Lepisosteus oculatus: one gene and its partner. The protein of the gene in region 1 purifies or fractionates together with the protein of each later gene. This does not show direct contact. Links are inferred from orthologs where the notes say so. Each region holds a gene or a part of one and is shown in the gene's direction. Other genes may lie near its edges.

Region 1 (9,936 bases):
TAATCAGAAAGTAAGTGGTAGTTACACAAGAAGTGATTTAAAGACATACTGTAGGTAGTAAGGCAGACTTGCTTTTGTTTTCTGTGTCACAGTTTTTCTTGACAGGACTAGGTTTATACACGTTTTCTTCAATATCGGACATAGAAGATATATTAAAAACACCGCAAATATTATTGTGTTCACCACTCATTTGTTGCATTTTTAAAGCCTTTTAGTCTATATTTCAAGTTGCAAACAATTTGACTCCGTCTAATTCCTTTTCACCTCAACCTCTCTTGTCAGTTGCCCTAACTGGGTCTCACATGCTGCCAAGGCTGAACCTGAACTGAACACAGTATCTTGCAGTGAACACCTTGTGGTTCTTGCATTACATAAAGTATCGTATGGGTCCTTCACTCATTATTTGTAGCTCATTGTTACTGTATTTTCATTCCTGGATTCTGATAAATCCTTAAGCTTTCAGTGTCCATTTGAGTATTGCGAGTCCATTGTGTTCTGTCTTATTTTTAAGAAACTGTATTTTTAAATATTTTATTGTATCTTTAAATTACTTCTGCACATATTCCATGCCTTCTAACACTGTGTATTCAAAGACATAGAAATTGTATTTAAATGAGCATTTTATGGAACATCCTTCATACTCATACAGGCAAACTGCAGGGGTCTCTAACCTCGTTGCTGGACAGCCCCAGTCCAGTTAGTCTTATAGGTTGTCCTATGTCTAATATTTAAAGATCAGGAACAATTGTTTAAGTCATTGATATTTTAAGCAAGTAATGTTTCAGTGAAGGAAACACTGCCCCTTGAGGGCAGAAGAATATTCTCGTGTTTCTTTCAAATCCATCCATCCATTTTCTAACCACTCTATCCATTTCAGGGTTGTGGTGGAGCTGGAGAAATACGGGTTTTTATTTTCATTGTTTTGTATTGGTAATTGATTGGATTGTTGATTGATTGATGTAATTAATGCCACACAGTAGGTGTAGAAAACGGGGGTTTTCAGGATGACTGTGCTGTATGTAGTTAGGTGTCACTATTACCATTATTAATAATGGAGGCTTCTTTTAGAGTCTTGTAGATCCTGCTAAATAATGTTTCCTGGACCTTAGGACAACGGTTCTTGAGTTTGTAAGAGCTCAACTCTATGAAGCCACTTTATCATAAGATCTGTGTCTGTCACAGTCATACATTTTAAATATGATAAATATTAATAATAGGATAAAAATGATAAATATGAGCATCAAACATCAATTTTGGGATGAACTCAGACTCATTGTGTTATTAACCATTTATAATTAACTTAATTGTTATGAATTCTATTATTAACCATGACTAAACCAAGCTTCAATCTTGATTATGATTTCATCATAATATATACAGAGCTTATCTACAGTATGTATAAATGATAAGATAAACCTCAAATGAGCTGTTTTTTTGCTGCTGCTGTTTTAAAACAGAGAGTTTGCAATAAGGCAAATTTTACATTTAAAAAAGGAAAGGAAGAAAAAAACCTTTTATCCAAATATCAACTGTTTGAAGTAGTTGCATGACACTAAAACATAAAATATTTGTTCCTTTTACAACTGTGCTTTGTGTTTTCATTGTAGTTTTCCTATTCTGCCCTGTGAAAACAGAAAGTAAACAGTATTATTCTTCTATATTACTCTACCTGCTAATATTTTCTAAACTGATACCCAATAAGGGTGTTTGTGTTAGTTTCTTCATCTTGTCTTGACTTTTCCTTTGGTATGGTAAGATGTGATATAGACTTGACATTGGCATCAAAACAAGTCTACCTGTATCTCTTTTTGCTGTTCCTCTCTTGGTTTTGACATACTTACAGTTTTTCTATCCACAATTCAAGAAAGACATTTCTTGTAATTCCATAAAACCTTTCTTGCAAAGCATAATTATTTAAATCTTATGTTTCCTCAGAGTCATTGATAAAGTCAGTTTGGTGGACATCTTCAGAATGAACAGTGAAACATGAAACAGAGGACACAAGTGAAAACTACATGGAAGTACATTTAAAACTGAGAACACAAGGCATTTTTTTGTATAAAGGATTGTGTAAGTCTGGACCAAGTTACCCAACCATGTTGTTGAAGCTGATACCCATCTGGATACGATCCTTAGATCAATTAGCTATTAAGTATGAAATTGTATATGGTAGTCCTTTCATTCATAACCTTTCTTAAATTTTATTTTATTGCTTTGACCCACATATACACATTCTTTGGTTCTCCATTTAAAATACACAGGTTGACAACTGTTCGTTTTATTCTTTTAGTTCAGGTTCTGAGAGCTGTCTGCAGTCCTCAGACAGGAAGTGTAGCAAAACATTCTCATTTCATTGAGGTAACAGGAGTAAAATGTATATCCAGTAAAACATAAATATAACATTTCTGCATTTTGTATGTAATATTATATAGTACATATATTATCGTTTTGTAGTATTTGCCAAGAAAGACCTAAAAAAAATTAAACACTAAGATTTAATTTCGGGAAGTGCCTTGCATGAACAGCTTTTTTCAGGACATTTTGATGGGGTTTAGTTCTGAGCTTTGACAAGGTCATTGTAAAATGTGGAATTTCTTCTCCTGCAGCCATTCTTTTGTATATCTGCTTGTATGTTTATGATTGTTGTCTTGCTGCAAGATCCACTTTAGGTTCTGCTGCATGGCCTGACATTCACCTCCAGAGTCTTCGATGATGGCAGGACTTTCAGGTTCTGGGGCAGCAACGCTGTTCTAAACCATCACACTTCCAGCACCATAATTGACCACTGGAGTGAAGTTCTTCTGTTCAAAAGCCGGGTTTGGTTTTTGACAGCTAAGGTTTCTCAGAGGCCCCAGAGTTCTACCTTTGACTCATTGGGAGAATATTGTTCCAGAAAACTTGTGGATTATCTATGTGCTCTTTGGCCTAACAAGAGCACCATTGTTGTTCAGTTGTTTTTTGAACAATGACTCACAGTAGCCAAGGTGAGAGCGGCCTGCAGTTCCTTGGACTTACTCTGGGGTTCTTTATCACTTCCGTGAAGTTTTGTGTGGTTTGTTCTCTTGAGTTATTTTGGGAGGATGGCTGTTCCTGGATGGAGTGATTGTAGTCTTGAAATTTCTACATTTGTAGACGATCCATCTGACAGTGGATGGACAGAACCCCATATAATTAGAAATGGTATTTTAACCCTTTCAGGACTAATGGGGATTACTACTATTTTTTTATCTTTATATACAGTAGGGTGGGGACTTCCAAACTCAGCCACCAAGATCTACCCAATTATTTAAACACCTGATTCAAATTATTCTCTAGGGTTTGGCTTACTTTTCCATGTCCCCTGTACCTTAATTAATCATTTTTTAACTCATACATCATTTTGTTTGGGTGTTTATTGGGAGTTGGGTGGGGGGAGTCGGTGTTTGTGTCTACTATGTCCTGTCCAGGGTGTACCCTGCCTTACCTCTATTGTTTGCGAGGCTAGGCTCCGGCTCCCCACGACCGTGAATTGGAAGAAGCAGTTAGAAAACTGATGGATGGGTGGTTGGATTAAAACTGGTTTTGATTCAAGCAGCTGTCTTGGTAAAAATATTAAATTTGTGATTCAAACTTTTTCTCGGCACTGTAGGTGTTCTGCTGCGGAAGATATTCTGCTACGTATTCATGGAAAACAGTGATATTTAAATTCCAGTGGATTTTTCTGCCTCTGCACATATTAACTGGACAGATAGAACAACCACTGAACATTACTCTCATGTAGACATGGTGTTAGGCATTGCCAAATGCATGGGGCTGAGTTTTCCCAAGTTACCCGGTCCTTGATCCCAGCCCTGAGCTTTTTGAAAAGACCTTTCTACAATAAAATGGTGTTAAAATGCCAACAATGAATCTCATTATTTTATGAGACGTCCTTGAAAAAAAATCATTTAAGTCAATGTTTTAAACTGCTTGTTTCTTTTTTCTAACAATGTTTTATTATATTACAGACTACAGTAAAACCACAATGAGGGGTTCAGCGATTTTAGAGGGAATCAGGGTGGAGTGTCTCCAGTGGTAATAAATACTGGACACGCTGCAGTAAAACCCTCCCAGGTTTGCCTTTCTAAACTAGCACTACGGACAGTTCAGGGTATGCAAAAATCTAAAGAACGATATCTTGCATTTTAACAGAAGCATGCAAATGAAGCTGGATCAATGCAGTATTAAAAATGCGGGGTGTAATTTGCATAATTATATTAGGAAAGGTTCCTTACTTTACACTGCGCGCCACCATATTAACTGCATGTTCACATTATATTTCAACTTAAAAGACAAGCATTTGAAATCAGATTGTTGTGACTTCTTTAAAGTTTCCCAAGATTCCCATTGGGCACAGTTATTTTTTAAAATAGAGCGCACTGAATACTTAATTGTAAAGAAAACGAAGACTTAATTTGCAAGGCAGAAGCATCAAACTGTCCACACACCTGCGTGCATTGTAAAATATTAACTCTTTTGTTTTAATTCATATAAATACAACGTTAAAGCCGGTTGCACATTCAATAGATATTTTCATATATCAAATTAATAACAAAAATTATAAAAGTAAAAAAAAATACGCATTTCTTCTAACGTTTTTACTTCCTGCTTTAAAAACTGCAGTCTTGACCAGAATCTCTCCGCGGAAGAATTTTACCATGCAGATTACAGTACGAGTTCAAAAAATGAATTGTGGTTCGTGTTCAGATTAAATATCTATGTATAAAGTAGTTAAACGTATTGTTATGCGTGTGTATATAATGTATGGAATATACTTTCTAAAAAAACGAACCGAGAGGCTATAACCTGTTTGGAAACTGTCTAATTTGCAGGCGCTATGTTTTACGGCGGACCGATACTTGTTTACAGGATTGTAGCTGTACGGCATAACTCAAACTATCCTGTAGAGGGGAGGTAAGGGAACAAGTTGATTGTAAATTGCATGTAAAATTAAATTGAAACAACTGTTCAAGCGGACTGATTTCTTCAGCAATCCTGAGGCGACCTCACAGCCTTTGCTCGTTGTTTTCTACATGACAAAGGTTCTGCACGCGTGCCTTCTAAAGGTAGGTGTAAAAATAGATGCGCCTGGGAAGTAACGATTAATCAAAAAAAAGTTTTATTTTGCAAGAGTTTCGGTATGTACAGCAGGCAGGGCCTTCTCAGAAGGGAACTCCTGACATGCATTTGAAAGGGAGCCCTTTTTTAATTTGAATGCGGCGAAGTGTCATTTTCCGAACAGGACAAGAATCACCATTTGTTGCACTGCTAAGTTTGAATAAATGCGGCTAGGTGTTGGACTCGAGTTATTGGTGACGCGGTGCTTCAAGAAAAGCCATTTGATTGAAACCGTAAATTAAAAAAAAAATCGTGGTCTGAAAAATTAAATCACAAAAGGTGGTTAATTTCACGGACGTGCAAGTTTCATGTCGGGTGTCAAACAGTACCGTGCACTTCAAGCTATATATATATACTTGCAGTATAGTAGTACAGTAGTTGTTGTATGGAGCTGACATCGAAATTGACAGACATGTCGTGCTTGTGACACTGGGGTGCCGAGTGTTGCAGCGCACAGTCGCATGACAGTGGAAAAGTCTGGGTCAGTTTAACGCTTTTTATCTTTATTTCGGCCCACCCGCTACCCAGTTAGTTAGTTTGGGGGCATGGCATGATTTGCAATACTTTGGATGAGCAGGATTATAACTAAGATTATCGTTCGCTGAAACGCATTTGGAAACCTGGCCGTGAAGTGTCTCCGGGAGCTGTCTTTTTTTTTTTTCTCCCTCCCGTCCCCAGCCCCACTCCCGTGTGAGAAAATTACACATCCGATGTGTGCGCATACACACCTGACGGGTTAGTCTACTGTCCGTGTTTGCTGTAGCCAGTGGAGAACATCTCGACTTATTTCCTTTTTTTTCGGTATGTGTTGGTTTTAAAGGGATAGCATCCAATTTCTCAAACCAGGAAATCCGCCTTTAGCGATGCGCTGCTTGAGTAGGCTGGAGGATATATATATATATGTATGTATTTTGTCGTGCTCTTTCTGCGATGTACAGTCTTTAACCCGTCGTGTGCACTGCCACTGTCTGCCGGGGCCGTAAGATGCTCCGTGCGGCTGTGAGACAGACTCGCCAGGCAGCCCCCCCCGCCGTGCCGGCGGTGCGAAACGGGACCCTGTACTTCGCAGGAGCTGTTTGAATTTTCTTTTTTTCGCAAGTCTGAAGATATTTTTGGGAGGTTTTAAAAAATATTGAACAGATACACCTCGCGCAAGTGTGTTGTAGTTCTGACTTGTCACCGTTTGAGGAGCATTACGTTTCTTTTAAGCACCGGTCGTATTTTTTTTATCCAGTGCCAACAGCTAAGGCGGTAGCAAATGATGAGACCTTATCGACTCTCCATCAAGGTGATCTGTAATATTCTTTTGGGCGTGCGGACTAACGTTTTGTTGGATTTCTAAACTGGATTTAAGGCGGACGACTAAAATCTCTCATTTTAAGAACCAGTTAAAACCACTCGAAAGTATAGTCTTTTGAACTGTTCTGTAGTAACATTAAAACGTTAGCCGGACACTGGGCAATCTTAAAAAAAAACGCCTTAAACGTGTTACTGTACAGTGACGGTTACAGAACACTAGCGAAACAAAAAATACATTTGACTGTATAAAAATATTGATGCGTGTACTGTGTATTTTCGTCTGATCTGCACTATAAGGCATATTAAGTACATAGACTTAAATATTCAAGTTATAAATAGTGAAGTTTAACTGCTAAAACGAACGCAGTTGGCAAAGTGACGCGCTATAGACAGAGGATTATGAGAATGTTTTAAGGCCAAAAAATGTCAGCGAGGCTAAATTTCATGGAGTTTTGCACAATCGGCCCGGCTTTACATTTACGTGGCACAGCAAGGATCGCATAATCGATTCTTGCGATCTTACTCGCATTTGTAACAGAGAACAGCTCCAAAGAAGAGGCGGGCTTTCGGGACATCTAGCCCGTTTAGCAGTCATTAATGTACGATTGATCCAAGGATCAGTTAGACAGGAGACAACGAGAAGATGGAAGCGCGTCGATATGTTTATGAATTTCTGATTCTTTTTCTCTTTCAGTTTTAATATATAACAAAACATGCTAATTTGTTTATGGGACATTTGGCTATAACAAAATAAATGAAGTACTCCGTTTTGAAACATCTTTTAACTCAACCAGTTATTGCGTTAAATAGGAGAAAATTCCTTCGGTTTGTACATCGTGAAACAAGTTTTCCATTTAATAAAGATCTCAGCATGTGAGGGAAAAAAAACTCAGTAGTAGAAATAATACAGTTGTATTTACAAACGCGTCAGCTGCAACGGCAGCTTCAGATGAAGAAGGCTCCATAGTCAAAGCGTTCTGCTTGGACCCTTTACTTCTTCCTTATTTAAGAAATATGGTGCATGACCGCAGGGTTCTAGTCAACAAACAAATTAACAGTAAACTACATCATTTTACTCTTATATAAATCAGAAAATAAAGGGACTTTGGAAATTATCCACTAAGAACCCTTCACTGGGGGTGGCACAGTAGCTAGCATTACAGCCTGGCAGCCCAGCGGTCCTGGGTTCAGTTCCTGGTGTGCTGTCTGCATGTCATTTGTATGGTCTGTCTGTGTTCGTACGGGATTCTTCCTACAATCCAAAGACATAATAGTAGGTTAATTGGCTTCTGGAACAAATTGGCCCTGGTGTAATTCTGTCTGTGTGTGCTCTGAGATGGACTGGCGTCCTCTCCAGGGTGTATCCTGCCTTGCACTCATTGTTTGCCGAGATGGATTCCGGCTTCCCAGCTACCCTGGTAGATACTAGTTAACTGATCCAAAAAAAATCTCATCCAGTTGTTTCCCGATGGAGGCAAAAGTACTGGGTTCAAAAACATGACTGGGTTGCTTGTCCCACCTTCCCAGAACCCTTCAGATAAAGCTTTAATCCACGTCCACATAGGTCCCACTTGTGTCTGCTGGATCTTGATTCACTGTTCTCTATGAAGAAATCCGTTGGGTTGACATTGTCGGTGTTTTTTGGGATCTTGAATAGTTGTAACAGGTCTCCTCAGGGTCTTCTTTGTTCAGAGACAGATTCTTTCAGTGTGTCAGGGTATGACACTCCCTTGAGCCGTGGAATGCATCTGATTGCTGGTCTCTGGACTGATTCCAGAGCAGCTATATCTTTACTATAGTGTGCAGGCCAAAATTGTACACAATATTCCAAATTAAAGATGTAAATGTAACGTACTCACACATTACGCACAGTATAGTCCGTGCACATATATACATACATGAGATGCTATGGGAAGCTCCAGAGGACCCCTGTAACTGCACATGATGTAGCGATTGGAGGTGCCGTCAAGAGCAGACGATGAGGGTAAATTGTGGAATGTTGTGAAGGCTAGGAAGCTGCCATGCTGAAAATGTCTTATAAGAGTTGATATCAGTTCATATCACAAACGCCCATGTAGACGGGAAGCAGGGGTAGACCACAGGTTACATTGCACAAACGTGTCACTCACCAGCCAAACAGTAATTGACCACGTGTGCCTTGCAAGAGACAGAATTATTTGCTAAAGGATCAGCGCTGCCTCTAGAGTGAAGCCACGGTGAAGAAGAGAGAGAGACAGGTGGGAAAAGGTTGTTTTTTTTTCTCTCACACACCCTCAGTGCCCCTCACGCACCCTCATATCTCTCCCACGTCTTCACAAAGTTAGGAATGACCATGTAATAGCCCGGCGTTGGTTAGTCCCTGCTGCTTTGGCTTCCTTGTCAACACTTCCTGTGTGTTGTGACGTCGGGGAGCCTCTTCATTGGGCCAAACAGATGGAAAAGCTGAAAGTCTTCACCAGCGCCAAAGGCAGTTATAGTCCAGGTGTTAGAAAAGTGATGCCGACAGCATTTTGATCACGAGGTGGTAGTGAGAACCACTTACTCTGTACTTCTTCAACTAGAACGGTCTAGTGCTACCGTACGTTGTACTGTATCTTCGTTTTGAGCCATTACCACAGCGACCTTACAGACCATGTACTCTACACATTACCACACTTGGAATTTAATGCTGGCCTGATGACTGAAGCTCACCGATGACAGTGCAGGAATGGCTCAGGAAATAACTCACACCCATTTGTTCGGAGGGCATCCATCTCCTTGTGGTAGACGTTCGCTGAGGTGGCCAAGAACTGAATTTCCCCACCAGTGAAGAGTATTGGGTGGATTAGTCAAAATTTCACTTTACCTATTGTCTTACCCTTTTTTCATGATGCGGCAAGAAGCCTTCTGTGACATATTTGAAGACCTTGTGATAATCACAGTTATTTTTCACTGAAAAAACTGTGTTTACAGTCACGTACTATAAGTTGTTGCTTCGCTTACAGTTGCTTATACAGCATCATTTTAGTTTTCCTGCAGTTTCTTTGTTGCCGGGTTATATGAAAGTTATACCGCAACAGACAAGAGTATTGTCACTCCGTTTCTTGAATTCACTACAACGTATTTTGTGACTCATTCTTGAATGAATGAGTGTTTATGAATAAAGTCTTAAAAGGCCGAGCTGCTGAACAGGCCTATATAAAGTGTAGTATTATCATATTGCATCTTAACAAATTGCAAATTACCCTTGTTTTGGATACAAGATGCTAATATGTGAGTGCTGTAATATGTGGCCTTTTCTCTGTTGTTTCTTCTAAGATGATTTGCATTTCTGAGTATTCTAATATTCTAGGAAAAATAGTTGCCGGGCAGGTTTTTCCAACCTTACTCTGAAGGAGTGAATAAATATAATTTTCTCAAGACCACTTATGTAGAATATGGATTTTAGCCTATTTGACAATGCTATGTATTTCTTCCCACGTTATTTCCATATTTCCATTATTGCTGCTTTGAGAAAGATTT
Region 2 (10,078 bases), on another chromosome or scaffold:
AGCTCGTTTTCCCCCAGATCTTCTCGAAGCCCGTGCTCAGTGATGACGGGGAGGAAAGTATCTTCACCAACAGGTTTATGGCCCTATGTGAAGCTCGGCGCTCTTGTTTTCCATCACCAGGCTTCTACTTCGTTTTTGTCTGAGACCCACAAAGTGGCCCCAGGGGTTAGTGGAAGGTCAGTGTCCAGGAAGATGACAGCATGATTGTGTTTTGCCTGGTGGAGGTCTTGCCAGAGGAGCTGGGGAGAGACCTCTGACCGAAGCAGAGGCTGCAGTTCGGACTCCCGAAGTGATGGCTCTCTCGGGCGGGCAGCTGTAGTGGAAGCACGGAGAGCAGTCCTGGTCATCAGCCAGCTCCTGCCTGACCTGCGATTTCATCGCTACTGCGCTCTCGTCTGCACAACTTTCAAGATGTGCCCCCATCTGATCCATGATCTTGTTCATCTGTGCAAGCCAGCAGCATGTCCTCTTCTCAGAGAGCTACAGATCCGCTGCCCGCTTCCTGTTGGCTTGCAGTTTACCCCTCATTTATTTAATCATCGTCTTCAATAATTAGAAGAGCTGTTTGTATTTATTCAGCCAAGAACTGAAAACTGAAATTGGTACGATGCGGTCTGAGATTACACGACAGAGCGCAGCATTATGAATGTAAACAAAAAAGCATTAAAAGTTCTGGTAGCCTTCAGAGACTCGATCTGTTGCACAGTCTCATGAGGCAGGAAGTGCTGGAGTGGTCTGTTGTTCGTGAACAGGTTGGCTGCCCTTGAGCTGAACTGAAATTGTCTACCTTCTCAAAAAAGACAAAAGATTTGCAACTGCTTTCCTTTCTTTCTCTGGCGCAATTTTTGTTTTCATTTTCAGAGAGCACGAGCTCTGCCTGATTGAAGTGGAAGACTTGTACTCTGGGATTTCCAGGGCTCGTGCTTCTTGCCTGTGCCTCTCTCACGCTTCTGTCCCATCCGTGTATGTATCTGTATATAAATTGGCTATTGGCGGGTTATTTTTATATTTTGCTGTTGCAAGGACTGCAAGAGAAAAAGAAAATGGGGCAGGGGGCAGGCTAGGTCTTTCAGTTGTAACGTAGTTTTATCAAAGAGGCGCCTGATAGCCCTGGAACTTGAGCGATCTGGTGGATCAGGAGAAAAGCAGCATCAAGCCGATACTCGAACCCCAGTGTGTTTCTGTCACCAGCAAAGACATGTACATAGTGTACAGAGATCCGTGTGAATAATGTGTTTTCTCTCCTCTCTTGTATTGATCTGTATTGAAGCCGTTTTAGGAAGTGAATTGAATGTCGTCTCTTCGTCTATGAAGGTTTTATGTTGATTTTTTTTTCCATAGTGGCAGTTTTTTATTTTTTTATTTTGAGATGCAAAATCTTTATACGTTTTAATTTAACACGACTAAACTTTTTAAATGTTTTTAATTTTGCTATTGTGAATTATACAATTTGAAATAGGAAATGTTTTAAACTAAACCAAAGTGTTATTAAAAAAAAAAGAATCTTTATCTTCTATGGAAAAGTAAAAACAATGAATGCTACTGCTCTAGGACACAATCAGCAGAATTTCCCTGATGTTTATTTTTATAAGCCTTTGATTCCTATGTCTTACTTTGTTTTCTGGAAATGAATGTTGTGTTTCCTGTTTGGAAATTAAATTGCATGGTCAGATATTTTTAAACTACAGAGAAACCATAAATGAATATATAGAAATTGACCTTCATAGAGATTAGTTTATAGATTATCGGTGTCTTGACTTAAACATTTTGTGTATTTGTCTTTGTTTATTTTATATATGTATACATTATATATACATACTTGGAAATTTATCCAAGTAGTAAAAAGGAAAAAAAAAAACATCTTTAAGCTCTCTGTCTGTAACCCAATAATGTTGTGTTGTAATGTATGCAGTCTGTTTTAAAAATATTTTCCTGACCTGTGTCTGATATTCCTAAATGGGGTGATGAATTAAACTAGCACTCCACCGGGAGACAGCAGGACTGTGTGTCAGACACCCCGTACTCAGTACCTGTAACAGGAGTCCCCAACTCCATCCTCTGGCAGCGGGAACCCACCAGCTTTTCCTTGTCTCCTTAAACTGGGGAAGCTGGGTGGACTGGGGCAACTGAGAAGCACCTCACTCAAGCCAGTGTCTGCACCAGGGACCTGTACATGTAACCTGTCAAAAGAGGCAAAGCCACTACCCTTCACTGTCCCCAACAAGGCCATGGCCAAGGGAGAAAATAGTCCAGTCCAATCAGATTGTCTCCCAGGTAGAGAGCTGTAACTAGGACCTGGAAAAGCTGCTGGATTCCTGGTGCTGGGAACCACTGCTGCCACCACAACATGATAGAAAGGTTCCCAATTCCCCCCAAGTTCTGAAGACCAGAGATTTCGTGAAGGCATTGTAATCAGTAGTGTCCCAGAATGATCACTGCACTCCACCTGTTGTGCACTGAACTTCGTGTGTCTTGTGGACACAACCCAGCAGCCCTGCTGTTATAATTAACATTGACACAGTAATAGCACTTATCATTTATATTTGTCTATTATCTATTACTCTGATACTGGATCTGATCCACCAATGTCTTGCAATGTACACAGCTGTTATAGTTGCCCAAACAACTTTGGACAAGACTGGAGCAAGGAATGTTGGACTTTCTTTTAAGGATTTTAGACAAGCCCATTTGTAAGGGAGTTGGGGACTAAAGTGAGAACTTGTGCAAGAACACCCGTGTTTATTTTTATGGTTCGTGTTTCCTCGATGCACTTGAACCCAAACAAGCCTGGCGAGTAGAATGACCTCCTCTTGTCTGTAAGCCTGCGTTTTAAAAATGTTGTGGCTGGAAATTCCTGGGGATTCAGCACACAGATGGAAAAACTCCTGCAGTTTCCTCCCTGCAAGTGGCGCCAGAGGATGAGACGGGATAGCGAGCGAGCGAGGGAGAGGGTGGACAGATGATGGGATGAAAGAAGCAGTGCCTCGCCCCCAAGACTAATGCGGGGACCAGCAGCATCGCTCTTGGTGCTGCTGCCCTGTTTCTCCCAGAGGGCGGCGCAGGGGGGATGGGGGGGGGGGTTTGCGCAGAGGGCTTCCACAGCCACCAGGAAGCTCACCTGCCCAGGTGTTGCTTTGCCAGCGGTGCTGGCAGGGGGGCCAAGGGGCCAGGGAACTGCAGGGAGTTTGCAATTGCACAGCTCGGAGCTCTACAGCAGTACGCACTCAGTCAGCGACAGACATGTATATATAATATATATGGAGAAATAAAAATGAGTTCTGAAAACGAGCCTCAAACCCCTACTTGAGTGCACCTTTACCCTGATCCTTTCTCGCATATGATGGCCCTTGTCCTATGTGGGTTTTTTCCCCTGCATGTGTTTCCTTCAGACTTCAGCTTCTCCGCGTCACCTGTAGGAGGTCCTGGTCACACATACGTCTAGGCCAGATGCACTAACCGGCCTGACTGCAGGCTGTGCAGAACCCTTAGAGCTGTATTGCACTCGCTTGGCGTACAGATTGATTTGTACTGATTTACAATGCAGTTAGTTCAAGACTTTCTTTGACATTTTTTGTGCACAATTTCAACAAAGTTTGTTGTCAGCTTTTGCTTTATAGTTCTATTCGATTATTTTTGTACCCTGTTGTGTTCTTTCCCCTTGTCGAGTATTAAACGTGGAGAAGGGTAAATATCCTTTTATTCAATGGATTGTTTTGGATGTTTTTTTTACAATAACAATCTGTAGAAAGCTACCGTTGTACAGATGATATAACGTGGTTTAAAGTAGTGTAAAACCTTTTATGTGCGTGCAGTTTTTTTTGTAAATTTTATTACAGTGAATTCATATTGGAAAATCCTCTGTTGCAATTCAGAAGTCACGAGTTAAAATAAATTAGATGTTGCTGTATACTATTTCGTATTTGATGTGCAATAAATTAAACTACATTTTTTTTCACCTGATTACACCTACAATGCTAACAATAATATCAATTTTAAACTATTTTATTATAGACGTGTAATAAACCTTATGTACAGTATATAAACGTATTTAAAAGGTGCAGACAACAACAAAATAAAAAAAAAACGTCTGTGGTTTAAGCCCTCTGAATGTCATTCAGGAATTACAACTATATAATGCATACATTAAACGTACATATAGTGTTTCGATTATGTCTAAGATTTTTTTTCCTGATAAAGTGAAACGATCTCGCCTGTTTCTGCAGCGCCATCACGAACTGCTGACGTCATGCTCTCTCGCTGAGAAAACGGAGACCAGAGGGTTGTGGGTTCGATTCTCGCGTCGGCTCCCTCCTGAAGCTACCCAAGGGCTGTTGCAGAAATTAAAGAAAATAAAAGTCTCGGTTAAAAAAAAACCGGAGTCATCTGATGCATATGATAAAATTGGAAAAATCAAAACCTCAGCCGGTTACATTACAAATAGAAAGTGCATTTATTCGAAGAGCAAGGGAAATGTTGAAGCAACGATGCCGGAAATTTAAAAAAAAAACAAGCTGAGAGACGGCTATTTCGCATATAATGAAGATATTAAAAAATTGTTAAATACAGGTGAGAAACGCAACACGACCAAAAACTCCAGGCAGCTCTGCGACATGTGACTGACTGACCCCCTCAGTGGCGGGCCGTGATTGGTCAGAATCTACCCACGTTGCATCGTCCCGACATTCTGATTGGCTAGCCCATGTCTGACTCTTGACAGCGCTGCGATTGGCTAACGCTGCCAAGACCAGACAGAGCTCTTTGAGCTAGGAGCTTTCGATACGGCATGGTCTAGTGTCGAAATTAAGACCATATTACAGTACAAACATAAAACTGGAAGCTCGAACTTAGTGATATAACTATCAAAGAATGATAATTAAAAAAATTTACTTTTTAATTTTAAAAAATGTTATCAATATAAAGTGATTCGAAGTCGGAAAGTCAATTCAATTCAATTCAAGGTGCTTTATTAGCATGACCGATTGGGTACAATCAGTGTTGCCAAAGCCAGAAAAAATAATCAAATTAACACGAAACAAAACAAAAATAAAAGTAAAATAAAAAGTCTATCCTAAAAGAGCTGTAGCTGGAGTTGTCCTGCTCAGAGGATTGTAAGATGCAACTAACATAGACTATCAACTGCTCTCTACAAGAACACTATGTGTGTATTTAAAATAACATTTGAAAATCAGACTATGTCTGTGATTAATTACATATGTATTCCGAACAACAGTGTTTTTTTCAGTTAAAAAAAAACAAAAGCTTGTGGCAGGCCCCAGCGAGATTTGAACTCGCGACCCCTGGTTTACAAGACCAGTGCTCTAACCCCTGAGCTATGGAGCCACCGCCGGTAAAGCGGAGGTATTGTATCCCTCAAATAGTAGTACACTCAGGTTATATTTCTGGTTATTTACATCAAACATATGAGTATTTTCTTCTTAAGTGATTTACAAACGTTAGTACGTTTTTAACATTTGAAACGCACAAAACCAACACTCTGCAACTCCTTACTATTGGCCAATAATGAAAAGGTTCTGTTTTGACACAAATCTTTCTAAAAAAAATAAGGTGATAGCTATTTTATCCCAACTAGGTTCAGCAATGATGTTTCTTCAGACCGGTCTGTTTGAAAAGAAGCACCGTACAGAAATCAATCTTTTAACATCCGAGGAAAAGATTGATCCTCGAAAAGCGCGCTGTGCCCCTCAACAACATGGCTGCCGTACGTCGAGTGCAAACAACGTCGCGGAAAGAGATTGGGTAATTAACTATAGTGAGGTCACGGCGTACTCTTAGTGTTTGGAACAGTATTTACCACGATTTTACCTATTCCGCGAGTGTGTCTGAACGACACGGTTTCTAGTCAAGCTGACGCTGTCATCAAGCGCCCCTCTCAATCATGGCCGCCCTAACGGCTCTGGGGTTGGGTTTTTTTTTTTTCACTCGCGCTCCGCGATGACGCAGCCCGTCGGCGGGCGGTGACGTCGGAGCTCGAGGAAGTAGCGATTTTGCGCGAGATGGCAGGAGCATCCTGTCTGTGTCGGTGAAGACGGGAGCAGCGCTCGATTTAACAACATAATCCGCCGACAACTCGTCTTCGGGCGTTGCACCCCCGGGGAGAGGGGGATCCTGAAAGGGCCGGCACCGCCCCTGAGCTTTTTTTTTTTGTAGCGTGGACCCGGCGCTGGCTCATCCGTTTTCACAATGAGACTCCGTCCTGCGCCGTGAAACGCCTTGTTGTCTGTGCGCAACAAGTTCGCCTGCTGATCGCGCCGCTGTTTTATTTTTTGATTTTTTTGTAACTGAAGCCAGGAGGGACATCCCACGTCCCCAGGAGCACCAGGCGTGAAAGGGTCCGACGCCGGGCAGGATGGGGGCTCACCGCAGCGAGGGGCGCAGGGACTGGCTGCCGCAGCAGGACGCCCCGGAGCAGGTCGCTGTGGTGAGAGTTTACCCCCCGGCCGCCTAGAAGCACCGCAGCCCGCAGGTCCTGTCACCTGCGTCAAGGCGAGCAGAAGTTCCCCTTCCCTGCCAGTTCTCGGGCTTGGGTGAACATCCGAACCCCTCGGCGTGAGGTTTTCATAATTTCGCTTCAGAGCAGCTTAACCCTATTTAGCCTTTTAAAACAAATAGCTTAAAAGCGCTAAAACTGAAGATACGGACTCGGGGGTGGGTAGAATTGTAATGCGTTCTTTAATTGTCGTGCGTTGAAGCCCGCGATGCCAGGTCTTGACTGTGCTGGCTGTGGGCTGGTGCAAGAGTTTGAGGGGTTCGTGACAGGGTGCCGGCCATGGAGTTTGTCCGTCCTCCGCCTGGGTGACCCTCCCTCTCGTCTTCCAGAACCCGTGGAACATCATGATAAAGCACCGCCAGGTTCACCGCAGGGGTCGGCGCTCCCAGATGACAGTCAGGTAATACGACTTTGTGTGTGTGTGTAAGAAACAGCTTGTTTAGTTGGTGCTTTGCAGCATGTCTTGTGATGATAGATTTCTGCTCTTGCTGTGAAGATTCCCTCCCACCCCCGACTGGATTCTGTAAGTGGTTAATGTTTTCTTTAAATTCAAAAATTGGTTTGTGTATCGCGGCGTTGAAGGCTGATTCTGCCTTTCGGGGAAGACGGAGCAGAAGGCGTCAAAATGCTTCATGTAAGAGCTCCAGGGTTTCCACCAGCTGGGGTGCAGGGGGTTGTCATGGTGTTTCAGGGCGCAGTCGAGGCTCGGTGTGTTGTGTGGCGGGGCGGTACTGTAAAGACAGGAGCGTGCTGACCGTGTCCCCACCCTTCCCAGCTACACGGACCCTGTGATCTCCATGGACCTGCTGCGCGCGGTGCTGCAGCCCAGCTTCAACGAGGACATCCTGGCCGTCTTCAACAAGTACATGAAGGTGAGCCCGCGGGGGGCAGGCGCGGTGTGGGGGGGCGCCCCTGCACACCCCGCCCCGCAGGAAGAGGTTTATTTCTTGACCCCCTGACACCGCCTTCACTCCCAGCGCGCTGCTGCCACGGAAAGACTGGACCCAGAGCTCCACAGCGGCGGAGAGCTAAGACCAGAGGCCCAGAGCAGGGGGCCATGGGCTGGGAGGGGTGCTTCTCACCATGAACATTTTTCTCCATCGTGGGAAAGGCTTGTTGGCATGATAAAAATACTGCAGCTTCCTATGATAGCAGACAGTGGCTGAAATGCTATGTACTGAGCTGGGAGACTGCAGGCCTCTTTGACAGCCATGTCCTGCGTAGTGTGATACTTGCAGTACAGGTGCATTGCAGTAACACAGGGCTTGGGTAGTGCAGTGAACAGGATGTGACATCACCTTGACCAGCCCCTCTGCCCCTGTGCGCTGCAGTTCTTCCAGAAGGCAGCCAGTAACGTGAAGGAGAACATGGGCGACGAGGTGCAGCCCGAGGTGCTGATCAGGGAGGCGTGCCGGAACTGCCTGGAGCAGGTGAGAGCGCCGGGCCGGGCCGTGGACCTGCACCTGCGCAGCCTGAGGGAGGGGGCTTTTCAGTCAGTCTGGGGGTGCAGCAGCAGATACAGAAGTCAAAGGCGGGTGCTGTCGTACAGGGGACACCAGGGGGTAATGTCTTCCACGTCGTCTTGAAAGACTTTAGTTAAGATTTTCAGCAGCATTATAAAAGTATGTTTTCCTGGGAGACTGGAAAACAAGCTGTTTGCACAAGTTGTGATATGGGAACATACAGTGTCGGTTCTATCAGGGAAGCTTGCACAATTAGATCCTAATTCTGGAATTATACAAAAATACGATTCACAGTGTAAAGTATCACCTTATCTCCCGTAACTCTATTGTACTGTCTGCTCCGTTGGTAATGTTTCTCTTCCTGTTTTATTGCACTGTGTCAAAAACCAGATTTCCCCCGGGGATCATAAAGTTTGGGATGAAATGAATACACACTGCACAATAATAACATCTCTTCAGATTTTCATACATCAAAAAACATTATGATGCAAATACTTTTGTTTTTGTTATGCTTACAAAACCACCTGCTGTGGTGTCTTAAAATGGTTCAGTGTAGGATTTGTAGGTTAATTAGTTTATTTCGTCAAATGAGTTTAGTTGTACAGGTCGCTGATAACGTCTTATTGTAGAGTTTTATTTTTTAAAAGACTTCTATAGAAACAGCAAACAAGCTTTATTTTTTAGTGTTTGAATATTGTAATTACTATGAAGAGTTTATTATATTATTATTCAAGAATAACAATAGAGAATCTTTCTTGCTGAGAGTGGATAAATACACCCCATAACCTCACATGATTTTTGCTCTGAAGCTGATAATACTCAGAATGTGAAGAGTATTTGGTTCTGTGGTACAGATGCATTTCATACATTTTAGAAATGGATTTCTGTGTGTTCATTTGAAATATTCTACATGATATAAAATGAGCTAATCGTGGCAACATGAACCTCCATCCCTCAGACTTATTTAGCTGCTGAGCCGTGCCTTTTGTGGTGGAGAAGTGATTGTGGATTAGTGGGGCATGGCGTAATGTTTCTAAAAAATGCAGGACTCGCTGTGACTTGTAGCTGCCAGTGATGAGGATAATGAATAAGGTGGTAATGATGAGATCTGTTCAGGACTGTTAGATCTCTTGTGTGATCCTCCCTTCCTCTGCAGGCTAAACAGCTGTTCTCTGATGGGGAGAAGCCACCCCAAAGACCAGCTGTGGACCTCCCAGCCAGCAAGGTGCGAGCTCGACCTCTGACCTCTGACCTCTGACCTCTCTCCCCTGTCCTGGCCAGCAGAGGCCTTCTATAGCCGTAGGGGTGACTTAACACTTTTAAGTGACAGATATCGCTTACAACATCTTAAATTGCATTGTAGTTTCATCTGCCTTCATTTCACAACTGTATTTTTATTTAGGTGAGAATGGGGAAGTGTCATTAGCACTCTCGATGAATCCAGTTTGTCTGGCAATCAGATTACATAGTTTATATGCAAAAGAATGTAAGCCCTTCTAGAACTAACCTGTAACTGTAATAGATTACTTAGACAAAGGAAGTTTTCCCCAGTTCTGCAGAAGTCATTCCCTGATCTCGTGCCCCTTTGGTGTAGGCTAGTGGTTTCTCTCCTGGTCCTGGTGACCCTCACACCTGCTGGATTTCATTCCAGCCAGGAACAAACAGTTCACATTAATGTTATTATATTAAGTCAATGAAGAGTTTGATTGTGTATCTGAGGACTCGGCTGGAACACAAACCAGCAGGTCTGTGGGGGTCACCAGGACCTCGATTGGGAACCACTGGCGTGGGGACGATTGGGGGCGCACGGCCCCCCCAGCACGGCCAGCGGGCTCAATAATGTCTGCTCCTCTCCTCTCTCCCCTCCAGCGAGGCAGACAGGTGGACGACGAATCCAGCCAGAGGGGCAGTCCTGTTCCCAAGAAGGTAAGGAGGCACCCGGCGATGAGCTTGTGGGAAATCCCGCGGAATGCCGCGAGAGAGCCGCAGTTTCGGATGGAACACTCTCTCCTGTTCATAGAGCTGGGCTTTGTCTTCACAGAGGAAGGGGCGTCCGCCTGGGCCCGTCATTCCTTACGACCGGCCAGTCTCCACTGGAGCCATGTGA

Evidence for each region.
Region 2: the proteins of transcriptional-regulating factor 1 (region 1) and deoxynucleotidyltransferase terminal-interacting protein 1 purify together in Homo sapiens (affinity purification with mass spectrometry; 3 studies listed by BioGRID and IntAct, with this or other methods). This does not show direct contact. The link is inferred for Lepisosteus oculatus from reciprocal best matches to the Homo sapiens genes TRERF1 and DNTTIP1.

The regions. Positions count from the first base shown.
Region 1 is NC_090697.1:16,546,563-16,556,498, reverse strand, and holds the start of transcriptional-regulating factor 1, read left to right. Parts: upstream 1-4,888; 5' UTR 4,889-5,084; intron 5,085-9,936.
Region 2 is NC_090711.1:2,321,306-2,331,383, forward strand, and holds the start of deoxynucleotidyltransferase terminal-interacting protein 1, read left to right. Parts: upstream 1-5,976; 5' UTR 5,977-6,130; exon of another isoform or gene 6,131-6,302; 5' UTR 6,303-6,367; coding exon 6,368-6,439; intron 6,440-6,837; coding exon 6,838-6,908; intron 6,909-7,283; coding exon 7,284-7,380; intron 7,381-7,839; coding exon 7,840-7,938; intron 7,939-9,127; coding exon 9,128-9,196; intron 9,197-9,840; coding exon 9,841-9,897; intron 9,898-10,012; coding exon 10,013-10,074; intron 10,075-10,078. UniProt on the Homo sapiens protein: Increases DNTT terminal deoxynucleotidyltransferase activity (in vitro). Also acts as a transcriptional regulator, binding to the consensus sequence 5'-GNTGCATG-3' following an AT-tract.